Arabidopsis thaliana: one gene and its partners. The protein of the gene in region 2 interacts with the protein of the main gene of each other region in a pairwise test. Each region holds a gene or a part of one and is shown on either strand. Other genes may lie near its edges.

Region 1 (10,480 bases), on a different chromosome or scaffold from region 2:
TCAGTACCAGATTCAGAAGCTCACCACAGCCGGTGGGCCTGTGACAGAGCTAGCTCATTCCGAGGGAAAGGGGTCGTGTGAAGCCCAAAAATCTGAAGATCTTTCAAATTATAAGCCTAAACCTGACTTACTTGCTGACAAAGAGGATGACCAAGAGGTGAAACCTTACTATCCTCCAACACTTGTGAAGAAATATGTTGCGTGTTATTTTTATTAACCTCTTTGCCTGTGTAAATGTAGGATGATGGTGTTTATCGACCCCCGAAATTTGCCCCTATGTCTATGGAAGATAAGACTTCAAAACAAGAAAGAGATGCTGCCAGAAAAGAGAAACACTTTTTTAGACAAGCCACTGAAAATACATACATGAAAGATGTGTTGGACGATCTGGAGGACAGGCCTGAAGAGGTGAGTTGGAAGGAAATTAATTTGCAGTTGATATGCGTGGTAGAGATTAATTTGATGTTGGAACTAAATGGGTGAATGAATATGAACAGATTAGAGACTATTATGGGGTTGAGAGCAATGAGCAGAAGAGGTTTATGGCACAGTATGAAAGGCAACAAAAGGCAGAAGAAGAGCTCTTTACCCGGGCACCTCGCACTAAAGAGGATAAGAAGAGAGAGAAGCGCTTGAAATCAAGCAGCGGGTACGTGTTTGCTTTGGTTGGAAACTGAAGTGTCTGATATGTAATTGGTCCTTATGTGATGATACACACTCATGTTCAACTGAATCAGGTTGCATGAACTAACCGAGAACTTTTACGATGATATCAAGTTCTTGGATAAGGATGGTGAAAAGCCAAGAAGCTTCGGCCGTAATAAAAGGGGAGGGCCATTCAAGAAAAGAAAGGTAACTTTTTTCTTATTCTACTATTTTTTTCTCAAATATTCTGCCTTTTTTTGTTTTTGTTTTTCAGTTTCTTTTGTGTTTGACAATGTATTGTTCAATTTTCGCAGACAAGGCACTGATATGGATACACCAGTGGTTCCTTTAGCTGCTTCAGTGCACCAATTTTGTTGCCATGAAAAAGATACAAATTTTCGATTTGCTTTTATGATTAAATGTTGAAAGTGGTGAATGTGAGAACTTGTTATCAGTTTTAGTATTGGTTCATGGTCATGCTCTTGCAGTAAAATTAGGAAGAGACCTTTTCTCTTTAGCTAAATTTAGCCTGTTACTACTGAAACTTCGTTATCATTTATAAAAAGAGATGTCACCAAATCTGATTGAAAACAAACAAACAAAACAAAGTAGTGTCGATCTATTTCTTTTCTATTCCCATTAGCGATGGGAAACAGTTCGAGCTCTAACACCAATCTCAGCAACCCTAAGAACATACTTCTAGAAGATCATCACCACCAAAGAAACCAAGCACAAAACCACAGCAACTCTGCTCGGACCTCTCACCTAAGCTTCTTAAGATCTCCTCTGCCATGGCTCTTCATCTTCCTCTTCTTCCTCCCTTTGCTTCTCATCTCTACAACCGGAGGAGGTGGCTCACGCAAGACCTGCCGTCCCTCTTCTTCTACCTACAGCCACCTGTCCCTAGTCGACAAAGCAAACTCATCTTCCTCTGTTGTTCCCGAGGAAGAAGACGACGATGTGCCTCCACGTGTCCCCGCTCTTTACCCGCAGCGACCAAGGATGTTCAACACGACGCTTGATCACATCGTTTTCGGGATTGCCGCGTCCTCTGTTCTGTGGGAGACGAGAAAAGAGTACATCAAATCATGGTGGCGACCTGGTAAAACTCGTGGCGTTGTCTGGATTGACAAGAGAGTCAGAACTTACCGAAACGATCCCCTTCCAGAAATCAGAATCTCCCAAGACACCTCACGGTTCAGGTACTTACTCATCTCTACAATATCTGACGTGTTTTACAAGAAATCTCTTATTCAAATCAAGAAGTCATGTTTTAGGTACACCCATCCAGTAGGGGACAGATCAGCGGTGAGGATATCTCGAGTAGTGACGGAGACGCTTCGGCTAGGCAAAAAAGGTGTACGGTGGTTCGTGATGGGAGACGACGACACAGTGTTTGTGGTGGACAATGTGGTAAACGTCCTTTCAAAGTACGACCACACTCAGTTCTACTACGTTGGTAGCTCCTCGGAGGCTCACGTTCAGAACATCTTCTTCTCATATTCAATGGCATTTGGAGGCGGTGGGTTCGCCATCAGCTATGCTCTAGCCCTCGAGCTCTTGCGGATGCAGGACCGTTGCATCCAACGGTATCCTGGTCTCTACGGCAGTGATGATCGCATCCAAGCTTGTATGACTGAACTTGGTGTACCCCTCACCAAAGAACCTGGCTTTCACCAGGTGTCATTTTCTACGTTTCCTCGATGTTTAATTACTTCGGTTTGGTTTCGGTTCGGATTAGAACGGTTTATCTGGATTGAATACGTCTAATTTTAATGTTTCTATGTATGCAGTACGATGTTTATGGGGACTTATTGGGGTTATTAGGTGCACACCCAGTGGCTCCCTTGGTGTCGCTGCACCACATCGATGTGGTGCAGCCGATATTCCCAAAGATGAAGCGGTCACGTGCACTACGACACTTGATGTCTTCAGCAGTTCTTGACCCAGCCAGCATATTCCAGCAGTCCATCTGCTACGACCAGAACCGGTTCTGGTCCATCTCGGTCTCATGGGGTTTCGTAGTCCAGATAATCCGAGGCATCATATCCCCTCGCGAACTTGAGATGCCTTCAAGAACATTCCTCAACTGGTTCCGCAAAGCCGACTACATTGGTTACGCGTTTAACACGAGACCAGTGTCGAGGCATCCGTGCCAAAGACCATTTGTGTTTTACTTAAACTCGGCTAAGTATGATGAAGGACGTCGCCAAGTGATTGGATACTACAACTTGGACAAGACAAGGCGGATTCCCGGGTGCCGATGGAGGCTCGATTCGCCTGGAAAGATCGATTCAGTCGTCGTTCTCAAGCGACCTGATCCCCTCCGATGGCACAAGGTTGGTCCACATCTTCTCTTTGCTTCATTATTAACAACTTGCATCAAATATAGTCATACCGGTTTGGTTTTGGCTAGTGAATTGACAGAGATAACCGGCTGAGATCATATAATAAACCGGTGTTGAAATAACATGATGTTAAAATTGTGTGTTTGGTGCAGTCACCGAGGAGGGATTGTTGCAGAGTATTGCCGAGTAGGAGAAACCAAACGATGTATATTTGGGTCGGAAATTGCGCAGATGGAGAGATCAGTGAGCTTGAACATCCTCAGCAGCATTAACAAGATTCAGATATATACTCACTAAAGATTTCTTCAAATGACTATGCAATTTGTTGAAAACATTCTGTGTATCGTCGTTCACAAACAATTCTCAATCCTAAATCAAAAACTATTGTTTCAACTGAAGCAAATACAAAGAAAAGAAAAATTCAATCCCTGAAAGTTATCTGTTCATGAAAGAAATCAGTAAGAAACTGAAAGAAACTTTTCTCCGTTCAGAGATTAGACTGCGTGTGGCTGTTTTGCTTTGTTCACCGACTGGGTTGCATTTTGCTGCGATTGAGTTGCGTTGTGAAAAGTTGTGAGATTCTGATTGGTAGAGACGACGGCGACGAGAGCTGAGGAGGCTGGTGAAACAGCAGAGGAAGCAAGAATCGCTAAACTGACATGAGACTCGTTTCTCACGGCCATGGATTTCTCAAGACGATGTATCGACATTATCTCTCCATCGTTCATGACGCTCACTGTAACCAAAACCAAAATCAGAAAGACTCATTTTCTCGGGAAAATCTTTTCTTAGATTAAAGAATCGGAGAAATAAGGAACCTGAGTGGGAGAAAATCCAGAGGGTGAAGAAACAGAGAAAAACGATCACCGGAATTGCATGGATCCAATACTCCGATACCGGAAATATCCCTCTCCGGGTGTTTCCTGTCCTTCTGCCAATGTGAGAAGAAGAGATCGGGAGCTGAGAGAATGATCTTTCCGCCATTGTTGTCTTATCTTGTAGCTTCTCTTCCAAGAATCACAAAACCAGTAGAGAGAGATAAGAGAGAAGAGATTTGTGAAGCCTTCTTGGATTAGGTTTTGGTTATTTAACGGCAAAAATCTTAACGGGTTCACGCGGGATAAGTTGCATCACGTGATCATAGTCCTATTTCTATTACATATTTACGACTTTTGCCATTCATCATTATGAATTTTTAGACATTACTTAATCCTAATTTACCAGACTTTTTGATCGGGAAAATATATATATGACCAACGATATTTGTTTTTGTTCAATATATGTATATATGTCCCAAAACAAAATGGTTTTTTTTTTTTTTCCTTTTCTACAGAACAGAAACATTCTACATACAAAGAAGCCGAGTCAAGATTTACATCCACAATAGATGTTAAAAATGTACCTGAGTTGGTTTTATATTTTTCCCCAATTTCTTGGTGAAGCCAAAATTAGATTTGATTTTTTACCACTCTCTTATTGGATATCCTATGAGGACCCTTCACATTCAGTTTCCTTGACGAGGTGTGGTCTTTTCTCTTCATCATCTCTGTCTCTGTGAAAAGAAGGGTTCTTCCCGCTGCTGCTGCTAGGGCTATTCGGATCATATTTAGAAGAGGCTAAGAAGTTGAGAGCCAATACTACATCAGATACCACTGGTCTCATGGTAGGCTGCTCTTGAACGCACATTGCTGATATTGCTAGTGCTTGGTACAGTCCTCTAACTGGGTATTGTCCCTGAAGCAATGGATCAACCATTTTTGGGAAGTTCCTCCTGTCTTTGAACAATGGTCGTGCCTGTTAAAAAGCACCGTGAAAATATGAGTCTTGTTTCAGTAAAGATTATTATGAGTCACAGCCAAGAGACAAAACATACCCATCCAACCAAATTCTGATCTTTACGCGTTTTTGTATTGTCAATCGCTTTCCTTCCGGTGATAAGCTCGAGAAGGACTACTCCAAAACTGTATATATCGGATTTAAATGTGAGCTGACCCGTCATAGCGTAGTCAGGAGCACAGTATCCGTACGTTCCCATAACCCTTGTCGAGACATGGGTTTTATCCCCGCTTGGTCCTACTTTAGCCAACCCAAAGTCAGATAGTTTCGGTTGATAGTCTTCACCAAGCAAAATATTCGAACATTTAAGATCTCGGTAAATCACAGGGGGCGTCATTCTGTCATGCAGATACTCTAAACCTCTTGCTGCACCAGCTGCTATTTTCATCCGGGTGTTCCAGTCAAGAGGCTTTTTACCAGAAGGGAGAACTTGAAACAGTCAAAACAACAATGTAAAAGTTAGATGAGAAAAGGGGGTAGCTGCGAGACAAACAATACAGAGGCAAAGGATAGGAATTTGATCTTACAACATACCATGTAGATGATCTTCAAGGGATCCTTGCGGCATATACTCGTACACCAGTAGTCTCTGATCACCCTCAGCACAAAACCCAATAAGCTTCACAAGATTCGGATGGTCAGCAAGACTTAGAGTCAATACCTCAACCACAAATTCCCTGATTCCTTGAACCCCATTACGATCAAGTTGCTTGATTGCAACAACCTAGCAGCAGAACCAAGTTTCACCAACCGTTCAAAACTATGACAAATCTCACAGCCAATTGATAAAAACAGATAGGATTTTTCTTTGTCACAAGTACCTGATCCAATTTCTCTATAGTTCCCTTGAAAACTTTTCCGAAACCTCCTTCACCAAGAAAACAATCCGATCTAAAGTTTCCCGTAGCTTCTGCAAGTTCTTGAAAAGTAAAAGTCTGTGCTTTCTTCCCTGTGACTTGGTCATTTAGATTCAAACCCTTCACATCCAAAGATAACTGATCTTCCTTACCAACTCCTCCTTCATTGTTTACATCTCTATATGGACTGACTTTTGTTGAATCTACAACACATGGAACGAGTAACAAAATCGATTACCAGTTATCATGTGACTTAACCAAAAACAGACACGGCAAGATACCAAAGGCTCAATTTTGACACTTTGTCCCCTCATGGAGGAGACAAAACCAAAAAAAACTAGCTCGATTTCAAAAACCCAACATCGTTTATATGGTGAATAGTACACATGCATCAAAATTCTCCGGGGAAAAATCACAAAAAATCTCCATTAAATGTCTCTCCCAAATGTAACAGATACAGAAAAACCTAAACATAAGTATCCGATAAAAAAAAATCAACAAATCCAAAAGAGAGCTTGTGGAGAAGAGAGAATAACGAAATTAGTCAAAATCACTCGATACCTGAACTGGGCTGAGTCTGATCGTCTCGCTTATCACTCTTAGCAACGCTCGTAGTACCACCGACAATTTTTCTATTTATGACAGTATCTTTGTTAGTCTCGGATCGTTTGCTCGATTTCTTACTGCATCCGAAACAACCCATCGGAAATTGAAGGAGAAAAGAGTAATTCTCGCTTGTCCCTTTTCTCTTCTTCTTCCTTCCTTCCTCGTTGAAGAAATCAGGAACCCAGATAAAACCCAACACCAAAAAACCAAAGAGAAGAGAGGAAGAAAAAAAAAAGTCGAAGAAGAAGGAGAGAGAGAGAGCTTAGTGACAAACAGAGAAAGCTTAATTTCTTCGCCTTTTTTTATATCGCGTAATCAAAAAAAGTTGTTTAATTTTCTTTGTTTCAGAGAGAAACGTATAGTTATCGTCTACGACAAGGTTCACGGTACATTACATATAGCGCGTCTAATTAAAACCAGCCACGTCTAGACAAATGTTTCTTCCTGAGGAGAACAGAAACGTACGGCTAGTGTTGAAGACAAACGTATCAGAAGACGCCACGTAATGGCACGAAACACTTGAGCATGGTCAACTTTTTAATTTGTCATCTACCGTCCGTTGGTTCGGAAACAAGCACCGTCGATCTGACGTGGCGTTAATGGAGCAATGGATTTGAGTGATTAAAGATTATGTCACTTCTTGATAAAATTATTTTCATACTGCCAAACATCTTTCTAGTTTGTCAATTTTCAGTATTAGTCTTAAAAATTTTATTAGCTACAACAAACACGTTTTTTACTCGATGGTTTGACAGGTATGGTAGATTAAATTGGATTATGATTATATTTGATTGAAAGATAAGTCTGATGATAGTAACATTTTTGTAGCTGTCACCAATCGCCTTACGGGTGACGTCGGTGTTAGACGACGGCAAAATTACTCACCGTTTTGGAAATATTTTCAAATGAGGTGAGGAAAACAAAAAGGACGTCATTGTGGGTCCCACGTTTTAACTCCACGCGCTTTGTTGTCGAATGTTTTTTCAAAAAATTATTTAATTAATAACAGGCTTTTTTTGTTTTATGGTTCCAAGTACAGTAATTAACTGTGCCGCGTTTCAGCAGATAGCGCCACGTGGCACATATTAATGTTCTTCGGAGAAGATTATTTAATCTCTCTCATTCATTTCTTTTACCTATAAGGTTTAGGGTACATTAACAACTCCTGTTACAATACGTTGACATTTTAGGCCGTAAAATAACTTTATGAGAGACAGGCCATCCTTTGCTGGCAAAAATAGTAAAAGCTATATGCTCTGTTCGAAAAAATAGTAAGTTAGACAGAAAGAAAAAAAAAATGTTTTACTCACTAAACTTTTTTGGTGTTTATTATTCTAGTAATCGAGAAATTTGTTTAACATTGATATTCCATTTTCAGTTTACTCCAAGCCCACGATGGCCCAACGTCTGATGAGTCATTTCATTTAACCCATTGCTCGTTAGTTTGCATTAAGTTTTCAACTAGATAAAGTGAAGATTCATTTTTTTAATACAATGAAGAATTCATGTATATAACATTAATTGGTGGATTACAATTTGTATTGTATTCGGCTATAATTAGCATTTTTAACTGGAAAAAAATGTCGTATATCAATTGGTGTAGAGTTTTTGAAATGTTTTATACCTACTATTTTGATATTTGTTTCAGTAAATTTATAATAAGCACAAAAGTGGACTTTCCTTTCTGTTGGCCTCTTGGGCCAGCATTAAAAAACCTAGTCAACTCCTTTTTATTAAGAAAATGGATTTTCTATAAATATATCAAAATTTTAATCAACAATGGATTGAAATAAGTTTAAATTAGAACTTAGTTTGACAGCTCGAATTATTTAAGAAAGGAACATAATCTATAAACAAATGTATGGTTCAACAAAGATATTGTTTATTAATTCTTTGGAACCAGCATCCGTAAACCAAGACGTGTTTGGCTTTTGTAGCAAACGGTTTCATTCGGAGATGTTTTCACGTTTAATTATTAAAAATACATATGCAATGATGTTGACTTGCTTGGTCCAATTCAAATTATCTACTAATATCATATACCAAATTATCAATATAAAACAAGAAAATTACCTTTCGGCAATCGATTGGCATTACATACATTTTTATTTAAAAAAAGCTAGCTAGTTTTGTAAATAAGAGAGTTTGCTTTAGGACGATTTAGCTAATCTTTGGGACTTTTAAGGAATTTGGTGAAATTAGATTTGATTTAGGCAGAGTATGGTCGAATTAGCTTTATCTTGTGTAGAGATTGGTCGGGTTGAAATTATTTGCAATCGCTTAAGGGTTTGTTTGGGTAAGAACTTTTTTCCCATTGCACAACCAACCATCAGCAAAACAAACACATGCACACGAGAATACGAGTCATGTTCACTATTCCCCACAGCTTAGACAAATAAGCTTTCAAGTGTCTTAAAAATTATGAAGAGAGTGAGAATTTGGGAGATTACATATTCTTGAAGTGTAAAGACTCTCTCCAGACAAGCTCCTTGATGTCTTGTTCATCTAAGGCTGTCTCCTCAAAGTCAAAGCTGAAAGGAGTAGGACATGTTGGTTCTTCGTTGATCTCATGGAGACTTGCCAAGTACGGCTGCTTCAATGCTTCATCCACTGTCAAATTAAAACATATTGTTAGTATATTTCACATTCCATTTATAGCATCACAAAGTAGTAAAACAACGTGATAAGCACCTGTGATGCGCTTTGAAGGATCGAAAACTAGCATCTTTTCAGCAAGATCTAGAGCCATTGGGGAAATGTTTGGAAACTTTTCTCTGAATGATTGTTTTTGAACATGTGGGAGTTGTTTTACGTACTTCCGCGCATTATCGCTTCTCAAGAAGTCGAGATCCGAGTCATCTGGTGACCCTAAGAGCTAAAAACAACCCAAAACAAAACAGAGAAATGCTTCCAACAACCAACACACACACACACACAAACCAAAATGATAGATTTTGGATTAAGGTTTTAATTTGCTTACCTCAGTAATAAGTTTCAGCTGCTGAACGTAATCTTTACCAGGGAAAAGCGTCTCTCTTCTAAGTATCTCCATGAAAATGCAACCAACAGACCAAATGTCAATAGCTCCTGTGTATTCAGAGCTGTTGAGAAGCAATTCAGGTGCACGGTACCATCTCGTCACAACATACTCAGTCATTATCTCTGTCTCATTCGACGTTCTTGCTAGCCCAAAATCACAGATTTTCAGGTCACAGTTCGTATTCAGAACCAAGTTGCTCGGTTTCAGATCGCGGTGAAGAACATTTGCAGAGTGTATGTACTTAAGGCCTCTCAAAATTTGGTAAAGGAAGTACTGGAGACAACAAAAAAGTATATCAAACAATGCTAAATGTTAGGAAACATTATGTAAAAGCTCTAATTAGGAATGTGTCCACTGATCATCACCTGACAATGGTCATCAGTTAGAGTTTGAGTGGATCTAATGATCTGGTGCAAATCTGTATCCATCAACTCATAAACAATATATACATCTTCGAACCTTTCTTTCTCTGGTAGCTCAATTATATCTTTAATTTTGATAACCTGTGTAGCAATATGAACGTAATAAGCCAACTATATGAGTGTTCATCAAAGTGAAGAAGAAGAGATTACATTGTCATGATCCATGTGGGAAAGGAGCTTGATCTCTCGGAGAGTTCTTTTAGCATCAACTCTGTTGTCAAACGCGTTTGCTATCTTCTTTATAGCAACCTCTTCATTTGTCTCTGAGTTTGTAGCACAGCTGTAATCATAAAAAAGGATTTGAGATTAAGATTGTATTCAAGAATGGTATGTTTTTTTATTGAAAGTGATAAAGACTTACCAGACAATACCATAAGCACCTCGGCCGATGGGTTCAATAGGAGGGATGTATTTTGAAGATAGCTCGAAAATGTTACCGAGTACATTGTACATAACATATCTACCATCATATGTCAAGATCCCTCCATCTTCCCTTTTCTCCATCTCTTCTTTGGAAGAAGAACTCGGATCAAGACAGGTTTTAAGATTAAAAAAGGAAGCAAGTTTTAAAAGACTGTTTCTCAAGTAGCTGTTGTTGCCGTTAAAAAGGCAAAGCAGTGAGTAAGAGGAGAGAAAATGGTGGCACCTTTTGCTTTTGGTGGGCCAAATGAAGACAAACTTTTTTATTTGATCCGTTGAACTTCGAAATTTGAATGAGAATTATTA
Region 2 (11,032 bases):
TAATATTGATATGTGTGTTGTATAAAATGTCTTTGATAAAGAGGTATTTATATCCAATATCCACTTGTATCTCTACTATTTCTCTAGGTTAAAGAAAATAATATTTATTGTAAGTTTCATATTTAATAAAATAATATTTCTACGATTTCATAGAAACCCCAAAAAATAAACAATTAAATTTCATGTACTACTATGTAAGTTTTTTTTAGCTCTCTCTCTCTCCTCCGTGCACCATTTCCCGATCATCACCGCCGTGCACCATATTCCGATCATTACCATTGCTTTCTCTGTCTCTCTCCCTCTTCTCCGTGCTCTCTCTCTCTCTCTCGTGTTTTTATATAAAAGTACTTAAGAAAAAAACAAAAAAACAAAAGATGGTTCTTCGTTCTCACACACTATATATTCGGAAAACCATCTATATAAGCTCTCACTCTCTCTCTCTGGATGGAAGCTCTCGCTCTGATCTCACAATGTAAGCTCTCTCTTTCTCTCTCTCTCTGTTGTGTGTTTGTATTTCTCTCCGACGCTAGATTTCTCCATGGTTCTTATGAGCTGAGCACCGCCGAAGCTTTCCTCTGCATTCCGTCTTCTCTCTCTGTTTTTTTCTCCTTTCTCCGACAACATCTCCGACTCTAGACTTCTCCATGGGTTTCTTATGAGCACCGCCGAAGCTTTCCTCTGCCTTCCGTCGTTTCTCTCTGTTTTTTTTCTCCTTTCTACGACCCTATGAACACCGCCGAAGCTTTCCTCTGCATTCCGTAGTCCCTCTCTTTTGTCTCTTTCTCCAACCCTAGCTCTCTCTCTTCTCTTCCGTTTATCACCATCGCCGTTAGCCCGTTACCATTCTATAGACTATTAATAATGGGATTACAAAACTAGTATACCTTCGTCTAAATTTTTAATAATTAATAACATAACTAAACTTTTATTCTTTTTGTAATCGGAATTTTGATGTTTGATAAGTTTATATTAATTTATGATAATGATTATTAATTTACGATATTACTAGACTATTTAGTTACATTAGATTTTCAAACAAGTTATTATTTTATCAAATGATGTTAAATATTACATTGATCTAACTCGAGACTGAAAAAATAAGTAATTTATAGTGATTACTAATTTATCGAGTGTTAATTGATAGAGGTTCTTTCTCTGTACAAAATATTTACAAGTTAAACTTCAATTTACTCATGTGTTCACTTTTTTCCACCTTATCTATTTGGAAGTTGTATAATTGCTAAATCATGTTCATAATTAACGTATAACTACTATCTTAGATTTAACTTTAGTGAATATGCATTAGACAATAACAAATTTTCAGTTGATTTTCAATATTTAAATTTGTCATGTTATATTGAGAGAGAGAGAAAAGAAGATAGGTGAGAAAGAGAGATTTAGAAAAAGGTAAGCAAGAGAGAGAGAGAAAGGTGAGAAAGAGATATTCGGAAAGAGAGAAAGGTAAGAGAGAGAGATAGAAGAAGAACATAAGCTTAGATATCAACAATAACGAAAAACAATTAAGATGGACTCTTTTATGCTCCGAATGACAATGTAAAAGCATCTTATGATCATTGAGTTAGGAAAAGAGTGTTACGGGGAACCTTAATTTGCATTCGACCACAATTTATATAAAGTACATAATAATTTTAAGTTCAAAATGATATTTGTACAAACATGATCACACACAAACGCATTCACCTCCCCATAACCCTTTTTCGTTGTCTCACTTGGGTGTGAAAGCCTGTAAAAAAAACACACACACAAAAGCTAGTCAATTAAACGTGTCGACGTTATGAACATTTAGTAAAGATATGTTTTGATTTGGATCACACTTACAGCGAAGATTGTGGCGTGACCAGGATCAGCAAGATGTGCAAAAAGGTTATCAATAGGACCAGTGCCAGTGTAGATGTGTTGGAACCAAGCACCCATCACTGCCAACATAGCCAACCTTCCGTTCTTGATCTCCTTGGTCCTCAACTCCTTGAGCTTAGCCGGGCTACCGGATCCCCAACCCAACGGGTCGAACCATAACCCACCTGGGTAACCAACGTCTGTGCCCGTCAGTTTGTTGTTTGGGAAGACTGGGTCAGTGTTGACGCTACCGGGCTTGATGATATCGGCCCATCTACGTCCTTCTGCCCATCCGATCAAAATGAGCTCAACGACAAAGAGTGTGGTTTTGTCCGTGAAATACTCTTGCTCTCCCGCCGTGTACCATGACGGAGTGTTGAGGATTCCGATCTTCGTTAGGAACTCTGGGATGAATATCCCGGCGGCTCCTAGCATAGCCCATCGGCAGTGGACTATCTCGGCTTGTACGTTCCATTTTAGACTGTCCGGGTCCGATGCTGACATGTGTCTAAATTTTGTCAGAAAATTATAAATATAGTCTAATTTTGTTTATAAAACTTGTTAAAAAGCATGCAAGGAGGAACAAAAAAAATATACTCACAAAGACCAAGAGGATCAAATCCGAAGTCACCAGGGAGGCTACCGTCTAGCCACTCTGGAGGAGTGCTTCCCGGGAACCAGATTGGTCTATCTGGATCAGCTGCGACGGCGCGCACCGACGCATCTGGCCTGGACACAGCTGGAACAGTCAACTTCTTCTTCAGCCTCAGTTTCTTACCACCCAAGAAACTGCACATATATCATAGCCCTAAAAATTTAGTCACAACTTCAATAACACCAACCATGCATAAATTCATATTATTACATAGGGCAGATCGGTGTTTGGATCACACAAACAATAGTCGCACAACGTTTAATCTAAATGGATGATGGATCACTAATTTTACAACCGCACACACATTCTCGGATACTAGATCATAAATCCCAATCAATGGATCACTATCATAGTCATGTTAACGAAACTAATTAAGTACAACTGTACAAGGATCTTAGTCTCATTCCTACATAGCAAGTGATGATAACTGATAAGAAGAGAGAAAAAGATGAGCTTACCTTGGAGAAGAAATGGCAGCGATGGCAGAAGAAGCACAAAGAGATGATGCCATTATTCTCGACGTTGTTGACCTTCAAGACTCAGAGTGTGTTAGAAGAAGAAAGAAACGAACGTGTGTTGTGTAATCTATAAAAGCACTCTGGTGACAAAATCAGATTCTGCTTATCTGATTATCCCTACGGATAACGCACTGAGTTTCCTCATTGGTCAACTCATTGGCACGTGGCAACTTCGTCCCACCACATCTTAGATTTTCTCTCTATTTGAACATAACTATTAACTGAGTTTTAAAGAAAGAAAATATAAGCTAGTATTCCAAGTGACTGGGCTTATAAAGAATACCAAAGCCCATATGTTTTTGGGCTTTTTTTAATCTTCAGCTGATAGCATTAGGCCTTCAAGAAAATAACTACGGCTTTAACATTTGCCGGAGCGGGACCTCATTTATGTACCTTCTACAAATTAATTGCAATTTTTCTATATCCAATTTGATAATAAAAACATGGAGTGGTACCAAGCAAAAAGAAACATGAAGTGGTACCATGTGACGTGTAGGAGAAAGACAAGACGACGAGATCTAAGACTGTATACTCACTAGCAAAATGATTAAATATCTATAAACATCGTTGTTAATCGATCATATATTATTATAGCGAATGATTGTATACGTTTATCTCTTTCTATCTAGAAAACCACCCCTGCTTTGTAGGAAACAAAATTGCGAATCACATCTATAAAATCTTATGATTAGCAAAACACTGATTAGCCATGTTTTATGTGACCTATAAATTATGAGATTCATAAAGACATCAGTAGGAATAGGAATCATAAAGATAGAGAATAAGCTAATTATATCTTTATCGTATAATATCAACAACAAAAGGTTCCTAAGACCCTAACAGAGACTGAATACATGAACTCCAATCTTTTTATTTGAAAAACAATTATAGTGTAATAAAAAAATCTGTATTGTCGTGACTTTTTCAGTATCATCTAAAATTTTATTTAATTACAAATGAAGCAATGATTGAACCTCATATTCCACCGAAACATCATCTTAAATCTAAGATCAATATTGGATCAAATAGGGTTTAAAGTAGGGTATATAGTTATGAAACAAACAAGAAACAGTCAATCAAGTATATTCGTATCGATGCATCATGGGACCAGAGAACGAGATGGTGCGAGTATTCAAAAATTAAACAGTGACATGACAAAGAGAAGTGTGGGAGAGGTAGGAGATGAGATGATATGCATACAAGCAATAGGGCCATGTGGCTGTCTCGGCCTCATTATAACATTTCCAAATCAACACACCATTCTCCATACTTATTTCGTTCCTCTTATCGTTTTAGAGGGTTTTTTTTTTTGGATCGATGGTAATTGACAAATTGCATGTTTTTTTGTCGTATAACATACACATTGACTAGTTGAGCATCATGAATTTTCTCATTGAAGTTTGGTTTGAATTTTGTGACATTAATTGATTACAAAATTCTACTACAATACATGTATTCTTGTACTACCATCGTGTATAACTAATAAAATAATTTATAAATGTATAGGTGTATTAATGCGTTATTATGGTACCAATACGTCTTGTCAAAATAACTTTGAATGATTTTGACTATAACAACAAAATGAGCTCAAACGTTGATGGTTTACGAGTTTTTGATACTTTTGTGGGTTTTTGTGACCGTTCTACTAGGCTATATAGATTTTCTTATTGTTATTTTTTTTTTTTTTTGAATGCGTTTTCTAATTATAAGGTTTCAGAATTCAGCGTGTGATTATAAATAAGGCCCATACTTCATAAATATTACCAAAAAACATCAATTTTATTATTTATCTCTGGTTATTTTTGAGTGAGTCAACTATATATAGGCTATAGAACCAAATAAATTCCTACTAAGTTTGAATATATCATCGTAAGTAAGTTGTACATCTTATGAAAAAATTTCCACATGACTATAAGTATTAGAGTATATATATACGACCACTTGATTTTAAAATACGATTATAGATAACAAAACATATATGTTCATTGCAAAAACGACATTTCTCCGATCATAGTTGAGCCATGAACCATTGCCGGTTGGTGGAAGGATCATTGCCACCGACGACTTGTCTCCTATACCTCTCTCCGGTCCACCACTCAGTTAAACAATAGACTTTTTTCTACTTTTATATAATTATTAATTATGTATATATATAATCTATCATTTTCGAAATTGAGGGTGAGGGGTATAGATAAGGTTGATTCCTCTTCTTTATTAATCATCTCTTTAAAGCCTCCTTGACCCACACACACCCTTCTCTCGTTTCTCTTTGCTTTCTTCATTTTTTTTTTTTGAACTTTTGCTTTTGTAATGTTTTTACTCAACCTAATATGCCTTTAATTTGATCATCAAATATATATATTTCAATTAAACATTGTACCGATCTCAAAACATATTATCATCTTTTTCAAAACTAGAAGCAATCCTAACTATATTACTGTAGTCAAAATAAGAAACTAATCCAAACCGTAGTGCAAATTAGAGCATAGTTTCCTATATATATAAGAAAGACAAAAGCAGCTTACCAAAAAAAAAAAAGAAAGACAAAAGCAATGAACTGGTTTATAGAAATAGTAATATTTTAGGTGATCCCTCGCATTATTTGATATATACACCTCCACTGATGCCAACATAGAATCACAAAACAAATATCTAAACTTGTTAAATAAAGAAAAGAACCTAATACAGTAGTTAGCTACTTAGCTTATCATATGTAATTACAAAAGAATTTTATACTTTTCAAATACATTTGTTGTTTTCCTATAACCAGTATAAATGCTAATAGAGACAACGCATGAGACCTCTTTGACGTGTGATTTACGGAATGAAGCTCAGCCATTTGATCTTACTTTACTACAAGATTAGTTAACGATCTTGATAAAATTTTCATATACTAATGTCTTTTAAAATAATGATAATTAGTGCTCTATTTTTTGTTTGTTCTTATGAAAATGTCCTAATACCGAGAACGTAACCCTATTTATCTACTGCCTAGTGTAAATTTCACGTGTTAAATAACATTCAACGAATCCCAAAAATTAAAATTAAAAAACGTAATTCCATTTATAAAAAAATAGGACGAATTAATTCCTCAATCCACATCAACCGCACGTACCACGTGTGCTGATCGTCGTGCAACTTGCAGATACTTTTATTCCCAAAAAAAAAAAACCAAGTTATACTGTAGAGACGCACGTAGCCAAATCCAACAATGTTGGTGACAGAACCAAATCTCACAGTCCAACTTCAATCTTTTCCCATTTCTACTCTTTTTCACCTCATTGGAACGTTCACATAACAAACGTCACAGTCAGTTAACTCTATCAAAATCAATCTTACACGACACGATGTCGTTTAGACGAATCCTGTACCTTCCTTCCTTCCTTCATCTTCTTCCTTCCTTTGATTTCTATAAATCAAACTCCTCATGACATTAAAAAAATCAACTTTTTCAAAAAAAGGAAAAAAAACAGAGCTCACTCATTATTATCTCTCTAAAAACCCTAGCTTTCTCCATGGGCTTTCCCGTAGGTTACACAGAGGTTTTCTTACCGAAGCTTTTCGTACAAACGCTTTCGATTCTCGGATTCATCAGAACCATCGTCTTCTCTATCTTCCGCTTCTTGGGTCTCTCAGATTTTCTCGAAATGGATCAAACCTGGCCCGATTACACATCGTACCCGACCCGAATACCCGAAACCCGCTCACCTTTCTCCGCACTCCTAATTAGAGAGATCCTACCGGTTATCAAATTCGAAGAGTTAACGAATTCCGGCGAAGATCTACCGGAAAACTGCGCCGTTTGTCTATACGAATTCGAAGGAGAACAAGAGATCCGGTGGCTGAGAAATTGCAGACATATATTTCACCGGAGCTGTCTTGACCGTTGGATGGATCATGATCAGAAGACGTGTCCACTTTGTAGAACACCGTTTGTTCCAGATGAGATGCAAGAAGAGTTTAATCAACGGCTATGGGCTGCTTCTGGTGTTCATGATTTTCACTGTCCCGTGACCGAATTATTATAGAAGAAGCCACGCTTTTCTATCTTTTTCTGTGTCCCTTATGTTCTTTTTTGTTTTGACTTTCACCCCTCTACTTTTGATGTTGCTTTTTTCACCCCTCTTACTGACATTTAGACTTGCCACGCTTTTATGTGTGTATATACTCCTTACATATGAATGAGAGATGAGCAATAAATATTACCGAGACAGGAAAATAAAAAGTAGTTTATTTACTTTGAAAGTTAAAAAGAAAATTAAAAATTGAGTTACATGCTAAGAATATCCAAAATCAATACCATAAGTATAAATTTCAGTCTTACATTTTTATAATCCAGTCAAGTGGTTTATTTGCAGATTGAAAGTTATGACCTTAAATTTCCATTTACAGTAACTTATGCTATTTTAATTAAGTCTAAGAGTTATTAATGTATTTTTAACCGGGAGTAGTTAAGATCTTGTCAGAACTTGTCTCTGACCAGTGACCAGTGATCACTTCTGTAAATTTTGTTGGTAATTATGGTAATAAATATTTTAAAGACAAGAGTCATCTTTTTATCTTTAGTTTTTTACCAAAAGGATCTAAATTCAATGGATCATGGTAATGCGTAAAGGCAGAATCTCGTAACATGCTTGGTCTGCAGATCCATCAGTCAATTCTAACGTAATAATTCAATGAATTTATTTTACTTGAATAGAAATATACCAGAAATCCAAAAAATCTTGAAAACCGAACATTTCTGATTTATTTATTGTAATAGTTACTATGATTATTCTACAAATTATATATAAACATAAAAATCAGAAGAGAAAATCTAAAATGAAAAACTGAAATTCTAGTCCTAATGTTCTGGAATACCTATTTATAATCAGATGTTTTATTTTTGTTTTTAATCAGATGTTTTATTGATGTAGCATTATTTTGACTGAAGGTGATCAGATTCATTGTAGGATGGTAAGGGAGAAGACATGCTTTCACTATAGAGAAAGATAATTGAAGAGTACCAGAGTGGGTAGGTTAAAAATGGGGGAAAGTGGCATTTACTATTTGGGTAATGATTGAAAAGATGACCAATACAAATCACCATCATCTATAATCCATATCATGCCCTGTTCTAGATTTCATGTACTAGCTAGAGAATCTACTTTTATAATAGTCTATCTATCTATCAGCAAACAACAAAGCAATTTGAGTTGGTTTAGATTTTCGTAGACTCGTAGTCCACACACACACACGTATACAAAACATTATAATATAATATTATGGGAATATATGTTTTATAATGTATTTTGTAAATTGTTATAGTTAGCAGCACAAGCACCTCCGAGAGCATTGCTTGCAGTTGCGCAATAAGAATCAGGAGCTATGTAGTGGTTGGCTCCACTTAAAAGTCACATCGTGAACTGATTATCTGAATCAGCATCACCAAACAAATCTTAACCTGGCTGGATTTTTTGCTAGAATTATGATGGATGTGATGCAAGTTGTAATATCTGTCATGTATTTCTTCTTCTCTTGAAGTGAGCTCATGAACTTGAATTTGCAATGTCTTTTAGAGTAACTTTTTTTTATATAAATAATGATTTTTTCTTTTAGATATCAGTGTGAGATAGCTATAGATTTGCATTGGAGTTTACTTGCTATTTTATTTAGACCAACTAATAAGCATATTTTAAAATACATGGGTGTATAATAGACAGATGAAAAGTGAAACTTCCATATTTTGTCTCTACCATAAACATGTGTAATGTAAATGACAGGCATCACCAGCTTTCACTTCACAGAGCTGCAAAATCGCCAAATAAAGATAAAGAAGATGAAAGCAAGATTTCAACTCTCCAAGATTAAGAGCGAGTAAATAAAAAAGGTTACTTACTTGTATATGAAGGCAGCGATTCCCAGGAGTATGCATAAGAGGATGATGTCTATGCAGAAGTTGCGGCTGGATCTCAACTATATTACCAAATAGAATGCAATGAGGTTAACTATATATTAAAACGAGATTGGTTTCGATCTCAATATCAGTTATATCACCTTTGTTACAGTATCCTTGAGCCTCACATTGGTGCTTTTCAAGTCAGTAGCTGCCTTGTCAATCTGAATGATAAATACCGAATCAAGAAACGGTAAAGACGATCTCGTTAAAAACAAAACTCAGATCAGGGACAAGTGTTAGTTAATTAAACCTTTGTATCTATTTCATCCATGAGTGGTTCTTGCCTATCAAGTTCCTGTAATGTAATGTACCAGTAAGAGGATCAATAAAGGAAACCAGAACATCAACCGCAGAAAAGAATATCGGTATAGGTGAACCTCATTGATGTCCTGAGCCATATTCTTGAGTGTATCCAGTCCTTCAGCTATGTAATCCAATCCTTGATCCTGCTTACAGATAATTTAGACTCTTGTTTTTAGAAATCGATCGTTATAGACCTAATGATAAACCAAATAAGCAACACACTCACTTGCCTGTTTTATTCTTTTCATCTCATACTCTTGCTTAAACTGATCAGACTCTCCGGTTGGCTGGAAATATTCACTACCAATTCTGTCATCTGATACAATTGAGAAAGTCTTCATTAATCAACATACTAATATTATAACGCAGAGGTCACAAACTACAGAGAAACCATTATATAATACCCGAGACATTAGTATCGAATCTGATATTCGAGTACGATGTTGAAGCTTCCCAACCACCTACAACAGGAGCAGAGCTTTCTGGTATGGCCTCAATCTTATCTCTCAATGACAAAACCAAATCATTCCTAGCATCAAGCTCCTCCTTTGAAAGTCCTTTGACCTAAAAACAACTCCTTTCTTATCATCACATGCAACAAAACCAACCTCTCACCAACACAGACTTTGATAGAAAATTAGGTCATCGAACAAAAATTAAGAAAAAGACCTTTTTGAGAGAAAGCCTCTGAAGTTTTGGAATTCCTTCAAGCAATCGAGCTTTAGTTCTTCGAATCTCTGCGTTCATCGCCACAGCTTTCGCTTTGTTTGTCTCAGACGACAAATCCTCTGTTTTCTATAACGTCCCTCACAAGTTTACAGTTAACAAAACAAAAACATACAGAGAACGAAACGAAATCGGAGAAATCTAAACGAACCTGAAGAACAGTTTCGAGAGCATATTCGACGGCGGAGTAAAGGCGGGAGAAAGCATCGTCGCCGGAGACATTAGCGTCTCTCTGTCTATTGATATCATACTTTTCGTACTTTTTACAGATGGAATCAACCCTAGTGATCAAATCAATTACGCCCATCTTCGCCGCTCGACGCTAGGGTTCTTTTTCGCCGGAGATTTCTCCGAAAGGTTTTTTCAGGTTTCTTCTGAAAGTTTTTGTTTTGAATATGATCAGAACAGTTACAGAAATGACACGTGGAGCTTATAGCTTACAAAAGCACAGAAGATTGTTTTGTGGCCGTTCGATCTGTTGCCACGAGGGCGTATCATGAAGATTATACTTTCCTTATAAAGTTGAAGATTATTTTCTTTATTAAGTCAAAAATGTTGATTCTGAGTGTGATATATTGGTCAACTACTCAGTCGTTGTTAGTATATTTATGGCTTTTATTTAATAGTCAATGCTTGTAAATGTATACGTTTTATTTCATCAAAAAAGAGTAATGATTTTCCAATCCTCTGTTTTGTTGGAAATCGGTATAGCTCTACTTGTAAAATGTTATGTTACATCAGCAAAATCTCAGTTAGACGGAATTTACCAGCAGAAAATCCCTATTTGAAACAGAAAATGATGAACTTTATTTAGTTGGATCTTCAATATCCAAGATCAACATCAACAATACTGTGATTATATTATACATCAACAATAGAACAATATAAACACAAACTTATTACTCTTACATCTTTCTTTTTATAATCTTTTGCTCCCGAGATTTTTGGTAAAGTGTCAGTCTTCCTTCATCAATCCACTGAAACTGGCTTCATCTCCTCTGCTTCTTTCCTCAGCTCATCAAACAGAACAGACGA
Region 3 (11,358 bases), on a different chromosome or scaffold from region 2:
TTAGAACCGGTACATGTTGCAACGACAATCTCAACAATCTGAGTGAGTCATTCAATAGAACCATTAGACAAGCTAGGCGGAAACCACTGTTAGATCTTCTAGAGGATATTAGGAGGCAATGCATGGTTAGGACAGCCAAAAGGTTTATCATTGCTGACAGGTGCAAAACAAAGTACACACCAAGAGCTCATGCTGAGATTGAGAAAATGATTGCTGGGTTCCAGAATACACAGAGATACATGTCCAGGGATAATTTGCATGAAATCTATGTCAATGGAGTTGGCTACTTTGTTGATATGGACTTAAAGACATGCGGCTGCAGGAAATGGCAAATGGTTGGGATCCCATGTGTTCATGCAACATGTGTGATAATAGGGAAAAAAGAGAAGGTTGAGAGCTATGTGAACGACTACTACACAAGAAATAGGTGGCGAGAAACATATTTCCGTGGTATTAGGCCAGTCCAAGGGATGCCTTTGTGGGGTCGATTGAATAGGCTGCCTGTCTTGCCACCACCATGGAGAAGAGGCAATGCCGGAAGGCCAAGCAATTATGCAAGAAGGAAAGGAAGAAATGAAGTTGCCTCTTCCTCAAATCCGAACAAAATGTCAAGGGAAAAGAGGATCATGACATGCTCTAACTGCTTGCAAGAAGGGCACAACAAGAAATCATGCAAAAATGCTACTGTTTTAAGTCCACCAAAGAGACCAAGAGGTCGACCAAGGATAAATGAGGTTTGTATATCTTTCATTTCTATTTTCAAAAATTCTGTTTCAAAAACTGATTGTAATGTTTGTATTAGGAACCACAAGGGTATGTAGAAGGATCACATGGACATGATAATGGCTCACAAGGGCAGGGTAATGTGTTACAAGGGCAGGAAAATGTGTCACAAGGGCAGAACAATGGCTCACTAGGGCAGAACAATGGGTCACAAACACAAAGCCAAAGAGGAAGAGGTCGTGGAACACAAAGACAAAGGGGAACAACTCGTGGAGCACAAAGACAGAGGGGAAGAGGTCGTGGAACATCACAAGTGTCTGAACAACCACAAGGAGAAGCACAATCGCAAGGACTTGCTGGACTTGCACCATGGTTTGAATGTTCTCGTGGAACATGATAAGCTAGTCTCATGTTTGTTTTTGTTGTTTGAACTTGTCTTTATGACATATGTTTAGTCTCGGTTTGTTTTTGTTGTTTGAACTTGTCTTTATGACATAATCTAAGTCTTTTTACTTATTGTTGTTTGCACTTGTCTCTCTATATGATTAGCTTAGTCTCAGTTTTAAGAAGTTGACCTTTTCTTTCAAATGAAATTCATTACCATTACCAAAGCTACATGTCATTACATAGTAAAAGCATAACCAAACACAAACTAAACAACAAAGACCAACAACAAGAGAAACAACAAAGACATCACATTCAAACTAAGCTCCCATTCGATTACACACTAATAACCAAGAACAAATTTCTGGGTTTTTTTCTTATAGAACATTGATATTACAATTGCAATCACACTAAAACAAAGGCACACCAAGCACACTTTCGTCATCTTTTTCCATCTCTGAATTTCTCTTTTGCTCCACATTCCATCTTCTTTCAACTCTATCATTAGCTCCTTTAAGTTTGCAATTTCAACAGCAACCTCAGCTTTTGCATTGATTATCTCGTTATCAATGCTGGAGATTTTGGGTAGAGCATCTATAACCTCTTCATACATACAATCCTCCACCCATTTGAACAAATGATCCTGCAATTCCATCTCAAGCTTTTATCGACCAAACACAAAAAACATCACATTCTCATATCAAATCTACTTACATCTTCACAGCTTTTGCACCGAAAGAAAGGCCTTCCAGGGTTCTTAGCCGTGCTCGATGTAAACATGACGACGTCGAGCCCACATTTACACTTAACAGGAAACCCACGGCTCTTGAAACCTCCAGCTTCAGCATTCGAAATCATTCCTGAATTGCAGCCTCCACTTTCACCACTCGAATTCCTTGAGTTGCAGCTCATAATGCAGATTTGATCGAAAAATTTGAGAGAAAATGATTTTTAGGGTTTGGGTTTTGATTTGGGGATTTTTCAGAGGTTTCGTCGACTTTGAAGTCTGTTGATAGCACAAAACGTCGTCGTATCACCTTAACGGATGTTCTGTAACGTCTGTCAATTACGCTGTTAGAAGGAATTTTAACGGTGGTTAATTAGGCCGAGTCAACGCAAACTTGAATGTTAAAACAGAAGTCAACTTTTTGTTGAAAGTTAAAACGGCCATTTCACGAGTTCACGGTTAATTTGACCATTTTTTGTAAGTTGAGGTATTAAATAACATTTTTCCCACTAAATTATAGAGTTAACATTATTAACCATAAACATAATCACTTTCACTGGACTGGACTCGAGCAGAAGAAGAAGATTGGTAACAAGTCAACGTCGGTGGTTGAAGACAGATTGAACCGGTACAGCCATACCGGTTTTAATTTATCATTAAGTATGGTTTTTTCCTTTTCTTACCAATGGGCCTAAAGGGACAATTGCTTAATTGGCCCAATATACCTAACAATTCTATTCACTATTGTCTGTGTATTCTCTCTGTCACTTCTGTTTTCATCAAGTTACTACACCAGAGTATTTACATAAATTGACAAATTAACCTGTGAGCTCTAGGAGAAGTACAATTTGAAAACCATACGGTTCTATTTTTCAAATCCAAACCATTATCCTCAATTCATATATACTATACAAAGTAGTTCCAACGAAGCTACAATATGTATGTAATTGTGAAACCAAACTTATGTTATCTGCTTTTACAAGCACAAACCATGAGGTGCTAAATGAGTAAATTCAGACGAAGAGCACTAGACAAAAGGAGACTACTCTTGATGCTGAAGAGAGAGAGACACAAGGAGAGATTATACGAAAACCAGGTCGAGGTTTGTTGCATAGAAATCACAGTTGAAGCAGAGGCAACGCCATTACCACACCGAAAACCGACACTAGCAACAGTATTATCCACGCTGGCAATCCCTGTTTATTGTTCTTTTTCCTCTCCTTCAAGCCACCTTCTGAATCTCCCTTTGTTGGATCGATGGTTTTCTCTGACTCGACTTTGGTATCGCTCTTTTGAGGAGACTCTGGTGTTGTCAGTTGTGTGGTAGCTTGCTCAGCTAGTTGCTGCTGGTTGTACTTCTCTACATACTCTGGAAATAGCTTTCGAAATGCTGGGCTGTCACAAGTAAGAACATTGGATTCAGGTGAAATACCGAAAACATGTAATCTCAGGACTGCATTCATTCCTATATTCGTTATCTAACCAGCTTTTATGACTATCCTAACCACAGATAACTAAACTTAGCTTCTATATGAATCCAGAATTTGAAATTTTTTGATGATGGGAAAATCTTACGTTTTACAATTGAAAGCGAGAGATGACTTAGCCAACCGTTGTTTCTCAATTACAGTAGTGTTAACACTTCCAGTTGTCGGACTGGTATCCATCTGCGCCGCAAGGAAAACGTTTAGAGAAAGCTTGAGAACAGAAAAGAAAAAATAGACTTCCTTTTTGAATATTCATATCTAAGCTAATAAACCATTACAATATAAGAATATGAGAATTTTCAAACAAGATGTCCATAAATATGTAGAACCTACAGTGAGCTTACCATAAATGAGAGAAGTCCTGTAAGTATGCTGCATTCATGAAAAAAAGTTGGTTATCAACGGGTATATCGATTGTCATCTTCCAAAAGTAAAGAAAGAATCTATACCTTGATACAGACCACATCGGATTCCAGCTTTCTGGATGAACTGTAAATGCCATGTCAACTTATTTCGATATTAGACAAGTTAATTGATACGAAATAATGAACAGAAAGTGCAGATTGTCCTTACAATCACTCATAGATAAACAAATTTTCTTCTGTGTCATGAATCGACCATTTGGTGTAGTCATTCTGAGGCAAACAGAAAAAGATTTGGTTCATTAAAAAACTGGACAAAAAATGAGGTAAGAGTAATGTTGAGACTGAATTTGGAGGAACCATTGGAACATACGTAATCCCTGGTGGCTTGTAAGGATACTCGGGAGGAAACTTGATCTTTCCATAGTAAAATCCACCTGGTAAAGAGAATTTTAGTATCAAAAATAAGATACTGCGTAAGACAACACTAACAAGAAACTTTCAAAAGAAGATTTTCACCTGCAAAAGGTGTTCCCTCACTGCCTTCCAGCACATAATCTGTAAGATTAATCCAATAGTTTAACTCTATTTTAGTAAGAGATCAAGCTACCCTTTTTAACATACTAAATGCAGTAATAATAGAAAGACTGAAACTCCCTAACCGCTATCAGGCTAACAGTAACACTGACAGCCTTTCACAATTGAGAAGAAAACTATCAAATCTATGCATTGTAAGTACATATAAACCTTTGATAAATAAGTCTTCACTATTCCATCAAAGTAATGTGAGACCTCTTCTGTCTACTTAGATCGTAGTATCCCATTTTTTCTTAGTTTAACGTATACTCACAAGTGTAGCAAATATGTCCATCATATATACTTATCATAACATCTTTATAGAAACGCTTGCAACAGGATTACAGGAAGCCAGCAGGAATAAAGATTAAGAAAAAAAGATAGGGAAGGCTTACGCCACTCGAGAATGTCATTTGGGGAAGGACGAGCAACAACATGGGAGACTGGTTCCTAAAGGCCAAAAACAGAACATATTAAATAACCCCCAAAGAAACAAAAGAAAATATGAAACTTACTCTAAACCAAAACCAAGAAAACATTCACATATAGATACAGCATCATTTGAAAGTACAGAGAAAACTGGTTGAGCAATAAAAATATGGAATCCTGGTTCCAGCTCGAGAGAGGTAGAAAAACAAGTAAAGAGAGTGTACCTTGCAAAGTGCTCTATATTCCTTTTGAAGACGTTTTATACAGGCCTTTTCTGCCATCTACGTGCTATGGACGAAGTGAATAGCTGCAGCAGCTGTTACACCCATTTAACATTATCAACAAAACGAAATACAAATATGAGTGAAAGTCCACCTACTGATGAGATGGACTACATAAAACCCTTATGTCTGAATTACATATATGAACTACATAAAAACATATATCGAAACGAGTAAATTGCAGTTGATTTTCGTGCCATTGATATGGAAACTTTACCAATTGTACTATCTCACAACACATATACAGAGATAACAATACTTCTAGCTATTATGCAATACTTTCATGACCTGATTGAAAAGAAAAACCAACCAAATACACACAAGATCAAATGAAACTTGAGTCAAACAACTCTATGATCACCAGAAACACCCTTTGAATAAAAATCCCCAATTTCCATGAGCTTGGAAAAATCTTTTCACCCAAATCACTGCAAACCAATTGAAAGCAACGAAAATTCAATCGAATTCCAACCAAATTAAAGGAAATTATCTGGAAATCCCTGGAATTATATATCAACCTAGAAAATCCTTTGATTGAACCGAGAAAATTGCAACAATGATAGGCAAACCAAACTCGAATCAGCTGCAATATCTTCCATAAATATATAAGAAAATCACAGATACTTCCACATAAACCGTATCAAAGCAAAGTCTTAAACTTGTTAGAGATTCCAATTGCAATTTCAAGCTTCGCTCTTACCCAGAAACGCAAAGGAACAAGAACAACAAATCAAAAGATAATGCAGCGAAGAAATTCCAAAGTAGATAACATCAGATCCAAGAAATAATTGCGAAAATATGAAAGAAATTGATCACCTGAATCGAATTTTGTCGATGAAGATTTTCTCTCTTGGGGTTTCTCGTTAATCTCACTTTCTCCTTCTCCGCGGGTAGAGAGAGAAAGAATTAGCCTAACTCGCGCTTGGTTTATCTAAACCGAACAAAATTCAACACAAGTTAGACCGGTATTGTATAATCCATTCCGGTTCGTTATTAGAGGATCAATGATTTAATAATTATTTTGCGTAATGCACTTTTCCCTATTTCTTTATTCTCCACCACTCATCAAAGAATCTGTGCCGGTTCTTGGAATCAATTTTTCCTTCTCTTCATGAAATATAAAAAAAATAGCTGCAGAAGAAGAAAAAAAACTAGTGATTAGTAGTGAGACAAAACAGCTGTTACCTGCAATTTTTTCTTTTCTGAAATTGGACTTACACTAATACCTCCAAATTCCAAAGTTATGCTTAAAAAATAATTTCAATAAAGTTAAGTTTCAGCCTCTTTTGAGTTCCCCGATAACAGTAGGCAGAAATCACGTGCTCTAATCACATGACCACCATCTCTTAGTTTCAAAGCAGTTACATGAGTTAGGTAATGTGAATATGTGGATCTTTGTCTCTACATATGATATTGTATCATTGTTTCAATGTAGATGCTTGAGGAATATCATCATCATCGTAAGTAAATGATTAAGAATAAGATAAGTATCTCACCATCTGATTAAATAGCATTAGTCAAAGTAAGATCACGTGATCAGATCCCAATAACTATGTGTTCAAACACACATAAATCTTATTCTATAAAACCAACAAGCTTTAGAAGTCTCTCGTCTCTCTTTTCTCTAACACACATCTCCATCCAAGATTTTCTCAGTTCACAGAAAAACAGAACAAGAAAAAGTCAAGAGGTTTCAAGAGTCCTAAAGGAAATTTCAAGAAGAGAACTCAGAATGAAGAGATGCTGTTCAGTGGCTCTGGTTCTGTTACTTGTAGCTTTCTTTAGCAGCAAGTATAGTGTAGAAGGACGTTCTCTGTTAACGATGACACATTCGAGTCAAGCTGTGAGAGATTTGCCTGTAAGCAAGGAGATGAAGAAAGAGCCACTTAAGGGAGAAAATGATAGCTTCAGAAGAATCCCAAGGAGTGGCTCAAACCCTATACAGAACAAGTAAAGAAGATACGAGACACAATCTAGTTTTTCTTTTTTTTTATGTATCCCCAAAGATGAGTTTTAGGTGTAATTGACATCAAAAAGTGTTTCTTTTTGTATCAGGTGTAATCCACCGGTAGATGTTAAAGCAAGTAGGAAACAACAGCAGATCACAACATCAAGAAAACCTTAAAATTCCAGTTCTTTTTTTGTCCTTATTTAGATCCTCTACTTTCGTTTTTTTTGTAGAATAGGTACCTAGACATGTGTGCTTTTAATGCTGTAATCTACTTGAAATATATGAACTCATCTTTTAATCTTATTGATCGATCAAGATAGGATGAAAATTTAAAACGCCTCCTAGCTCGAGTAGTCTAACTTTCCAAAACTATTCTCAACCTCTTTAATCTTTTGAGTTCTTCTTCTTTTCTCTGCTTTGTGGTTTCTTTTATTTGACTTCAGCAGACTTATCCTCAGCCATAGCATGTTGTTCTCAGTGGTGCTTAAAACCTTAAATATAAAATGATCAACCTCTTTATCTATGTTCTCGGTTCTATATGCTTCAAAAATGCATCCTCAGATCCGTAAAAAATTGAAAGTTGTTCTGCAGGAAACCTCACAATATCCTGACTATTTAGCTGCCTATCTCGATATCCAGTGATTACTCCTCACTGCAAAACAGCAACAATGAAAGAAGTAATCACAGCTGTGAGCACTAGATTCCTTTTGACATGTAAGTTTGTACTTCTCTAAAACACCGATACAGATTGTTGAGATTGTTTACAAACTTTTGGACCAAGAAGAAACAAAGTGGCATCCAACACATTACTCAAAAATGACGTCGTTTTGCTGATCCCATGTATAATAATATTACTGTTATTAGGAAACGCTGAGAAAACCGCCGCCAAAATGACGTCGTTTTGCTGATCCCATGTATAATATGATGAATTTTTCCCACGAACCGGTTGGGCCGGAAGAGAGTCTCTAAACCGTAACTCGGCCCATAATGGCCAAATTTTGTCCAATTTCTAACAGCGTTTTACGCGCCGACTCCGACCAATAAAACACATGGTTTTGTCTGAATAATCCACGATCCAGAAGTTCTTTATCTCCAATTAATTGTTCATTATTATTATTAGTACCAAACTAAATTAAAAAGAAGAAGAAAAAACCACCTTCATTTATTACGACCTCTCTTTAGACAAATTTTTTGACTAAGAAAATATCATAAACGGCTAAAAGACTCGAGATTACGGATTATGGATTGAAAACACACAAAACAAAACAAAACAATAATAATAATCTCATTCCTTTGTTTGAAATTAAAAAAAAATCTCATTTACGTTTATTACATTCTTTTTTTAGATTGATTTTTCGTTGAAAAGATAAATATATAGATGGCTTTTGACAGAGTATTTGGTAAGAAAGAAAAAAAGAAAGACATTCAATATTCGTTGAAAAGGGTTTAAAGAAATCCGTTGAAAATAAAGGAAAACAAGATAAATTCTAAATCCGTGGACGGACAAAAAAATGTCAAAATCAGTGTGAATTGGAGAGAGAGAGAAGACAGGAATTGGGAAGTTTCGTCTTTCGAGCAAAACTATCGAAATCTAAATTTAGATTGAGAAACAAGCCAACAAGCTTTTTAGTATAAATCCCATACCACACAATCACAAATGCGGAGATTCGTGATTGGCCAAGCTAAAAATCTCATAGATCAGAGTCGTCGTCGTCAACTTCATCATCACAAAAATCTCAGCTTTGTCTCTCTTATTCCTCCTTTTTCTGCTCCTTCCGATTCTTCATCGCGCCACTTGTCTTCTTCTTCTTCTTCCGATATGTCTGCTTCTGATTCCTCTTCCTCTCTTCCCGTTACTCTTGACACCATCAACCCCAAGGTCCGTTTTTTTCTTAATTTTTCCTTTATTCTCGCCTTTTTGGGTTGCTGTTTGTTAGTGATTTGTGTTCTGTGTTTTGGATTATGTTTCCTCGATTGATCTGTGTCTTTTTGCAAGCTTTGATTTTGTTTTATACTCCGATGAAATTTTGTGATTTATGATTTGGTAAAGTGAAGAGCTTCGTTTAATTTCTTCGAGATTGCTCTGTACTTGATTTAGGGTTTATTGATCACCTGCTTGTGTTCTTTTTGGGCATCATGTTTCGAGTTTATGCATATTATGATTCGTATCCTCGTCTCCGCATCTTGATCATTGACCCTTGATGGATTTATTTCTTTTACGTATTATATTACTAGGTGATCCTTTGTTTATAGGACTATTTAGAATCCATTTTGTTCTTCAGCTTTTTGCGTATATTAAAAAAGTCTGTTGCTTTCTGAATTCTTCATTTTTGTTCTTCCTTGTGATTAGCTCATACTTTACAATTGAATAGTTTATTGTCGAGGAACAGTTCTGCATCTTAAATCTAGCTTTAGTGACTGATGTTTTGTTTGGTTTTTTTTATTCTAACAATATGGTTTCTTTTTGGGGGTTCTCAGGTTATCAAATGTGAGTATGCTGTCCGTGGAGAAATTGTCAACATTGCTCAGGTTAACATCTTTGTCCTTGATTGTATATTTCTAGTGGAGACTGTTTTGCTCATTTTGATTTCTGTTTCCATCTTACAGAAATTGCAAGAAGATTTGAAGACTAACAAGGACGCTTATCCCTTTGATGAGGTACGTTATAATCGGTTTAGTCCTTTTCGTGTTTTCAAGCTTGATTCTTTTCATGAGTGAAGCTTACAAGGTTCTATGTTTTTGGCAGATTATCTACTGTAATATCGGGAATCCTCAATCTCTTGGTCAACAGCCTATAACATTCTTCAGAGAGGTAAATAAGTGAGCTTTTATAGTGCTGGTTTGTTCCATATGTTAATCATGAGTTAGCTTGTAACATTTATATCTCAGGTTCTTGCTTTATGTTCCTACACAGCCCTGTTGGATGAGAGTGCAACACACGGTTTGTTCAGGTATCAAAAGTGGTTTATATGTTTCTTAGTTGTTTTGATTCTGTGGTGTAAGATTTTTTAACATTCAACTTTACAAATTTTATCAGTTCTGATTCGATTGAGCGTGCTTGGAAGATTCTGGACCAAATTCCCGGGAGAGCGACTGGTGCTTACAGCCACAGCCAGGTTTGTGGCATTGTGAATCTTGACAGCATTTCTCTCTCAATGATGATTCCCTCTCTTAATCTTCCGTTCTTCCTCAGGGTATCAAGGGGTTACGTGATGCAATTGCTGATGGAATCGAAGCCCGTGATGGTTTCCCTGCTGATCCTAATGATATATTCATGACAGATGGTGCAAGTCCAGGGGTAAGGATTATCAAACTAATCTTCTCGTAACTCGTAGAATCTGGAACACCTTGTTTTGAAGTTGACAGTGATGTTCCTCTCCTTCTAGGTTCATATGATGATGCAACTTCTCATAACTTCAGAGAAAGATGGAATCCTTTGTCCTATTCCTCAGTATCCATTGTACTCAGCTTCAATTGCCCTTCACGGTGGAACTTTGGTATGTTCGTTATCTTTGTTTATGATGATGATATCATTTTGACGCATTACTATATCAAATGGGAAAATGAATCTGTCTCCAAAGTTTCTTTTGTCTTTCTTCTCATTGTCGTCATGTTCTTCTGGTAGGTTCCATACTACCTTGATGAAGCATCAGGATGGGGTCTTGAAATATCTGAGCTGAAGAAACAACTTGAAGATGCTAGGTCAAAGGGCATCACTGTGAGAGCTTTGGCTGTCATTAACCCTGGAAACCCGACAGGGCAGGTAAATTAATCTTCAAGACTAAAACTCACAAATTTATACCGATGTGAATTTCATAGTTTCGTCTAAATTTGACCTCTGCTTTGTTCTGGTAAAAGGTTCTTTCGGAAGAAAACCAGCGTGACGTTGTTAAGTTCTGCAAGCAAGAGGGTTTAGTTCTTTTAGCAGACGAGGTTTATCAAGAGAATGTCTATGTCCCTGACAAAAAGTTCCATTCCTTCAAGAAAGTAGCCCGCTCTATGGGCTACGGTGAGAAGGATCTTGCCTTAGTCTCTTTCCAATCTGTCTCCAAAGGTTTGATACAAAAACAAATCTCTTAGTCAATTGATAATTCTGATCATTGCGATGGGAAACTAGTCAGAAAACTGAATTCATTATTTCTGACAGGGTACTATGGAGAGTGTGGGAAAAGAGGTGGTTACATGGAGGTTACTGGATTCACTTCTGATGTAAGAGAGCAGATATACAAAATGGCTTCTGTGAATCTTTGTTCCAACATCTCTGGTCAAATTCTTGCTAGCCTCATCATGAGCCCACCCAAGGTATAAAACATCTATATGACTTTATCATCACAATTGATTCAGTTTCCACCTGTTGGCTTGGACTTGCACATCGATAATTGACCTTAATAGCTTTTATTAAATTTGATCAGCCTGGTGACGACTCCTATGAATCATA

What was found.
Region 1: the proteins of BRH1 (region 2) and AT1G07860 interact in a protein complementation assay, tested with the Arabidopsis thaliana proteins (one large-scale study listed by BioGRID).
Region 3: the proteins of BRH1 (region 2) and UBC34 interact in a protein complementation assay, tested with the Arabidopsis thaliana proteins (one large-scale study listed by BioGRID).

What each region holds. Positions count from the first base shown.
Region 1 is NC_003070.9:2,425,455-2,435,934, forward strand, and holds AT1G07860 (Serine/Threonine-kinase RLCKVII protein), read right to left. Parts: upstream 3,978-10,480; coding exon 3,812-3,977; intron 3,772-3,811; exon of another isoform or gene 3,730-3,771; coding exon 3,488-3,729; 3' UTR 3,457-3,487; downstream 1-3,456. Other genes in the region: AT1G07840 (Sas10/Utp3/C1D family), read left to right, coding at 1-157, 241-408, 498-649, 738-852, 960-971; AT1G07850 (transferring glycosyl group transferase (DUF604)), read left to right, coding at 1,291-1,847, 1,923-2,325, 2,439-2,984, 3,146-3,265; AT1G07870 (Protein kinase superfamily protein), read right to left, coding at 3,488-3,729, 3,812-3,924, 4,489-4,787, 4,867-5,258, 5,364-5,553, 5,651-5,889, 6,248-6,389; ATMPK13 (Protein kinase superfamily protein), read right to left, coding at 8,739-8,902, 8,984-9,167, 9,273-9,605, 9,698-9,835, 9,905-10,034, 10,116-10,258.
Region 2 is NC_003074.8:22,737,727-22,748,758, reverse strand, and holds BRH1 (brassinosteroid-responsive RING-H2), read left to right. Parts: upstream 1-6,474; 5' UTR 6,475-6,545; coding exon 6,546-7,058; 3' UTR 7,059-7,248; downstream 7,249-11,032. Other genes in the region: LHCA2 (photosystem I light harvesting complex protein), read right to left, coding at 1,727-1,744, 1,840-2,354, 2,459-2,646, 2,971-3,023; SYP73 (syntaxin of plants 73), read right to left, coding at 8,806-8,818, 8,909-8,985, 9,067-9,129, 9,219-9,263, 9,346-9,414, 9,502-9,587, 9,676-9,835, 9,941-10,066 and 1 more; CYSC1 (cysteine synthase C1), read right to left, coding at 10,967-11,032. UniProt on the Arabidopsis thaliana protein: May be involved in the brassinosteroids (BRs) signaling pathway and regulate the growth and development of rosette leaves. Seems to prevent over development of leaves and inflorescence stems.
Region 3 is NC_003070.9:5,914,194-5,925,551, forward strand, and holds UBC34 (ubiquitin-conjugating enzyme 34), read right to left. Parts: upstream 6,150-11,358; 5' UTR 5,786-6,149; intron 5,784-5,785; exon of another isoform or gene 5,005-5,783; 5' UTR 4,970-5,004; coding exon 4,913-4,969; intron 4,710-4,912; coding exon 4,655-4,709; intron 4,242-4,654; coding exon 4,203-4,241; intron 4,121-4,202; coding exon 4,057-4,120; intron 3,957-4,056; coding exon 3,895-3,956; intron 3,829-3,894; coding exon 3,771-3,828; intron 3,694-3,770; coding exon 3,666-3,693; intron 3,502-3,665; coding exon 3,410-3,501; intron 3,230-3,409; coding exon 2,953-3,229; 3' UTR 2,639-2,952; downstream 1-2,638. Other genes in the region: AT1G17285 (uncharacterized protein), read left to right, coding at 6,522-6,919, 7,025-7,094; AlaAT1 (alanine aminotransferas), read left to right, coding at 8,578-8,799, 9,399-9,449, 9,528-9,578, 9,667-9,732, 9,810-9,871, 9,958-10,036, 10,114-10,218, 10,307-10,417 and 4 more. UniProt on the Arabidopsis thaliana protein: Accepts the ubiquitin from the E1 complex and catalyzes its covalent attachment to other proteins.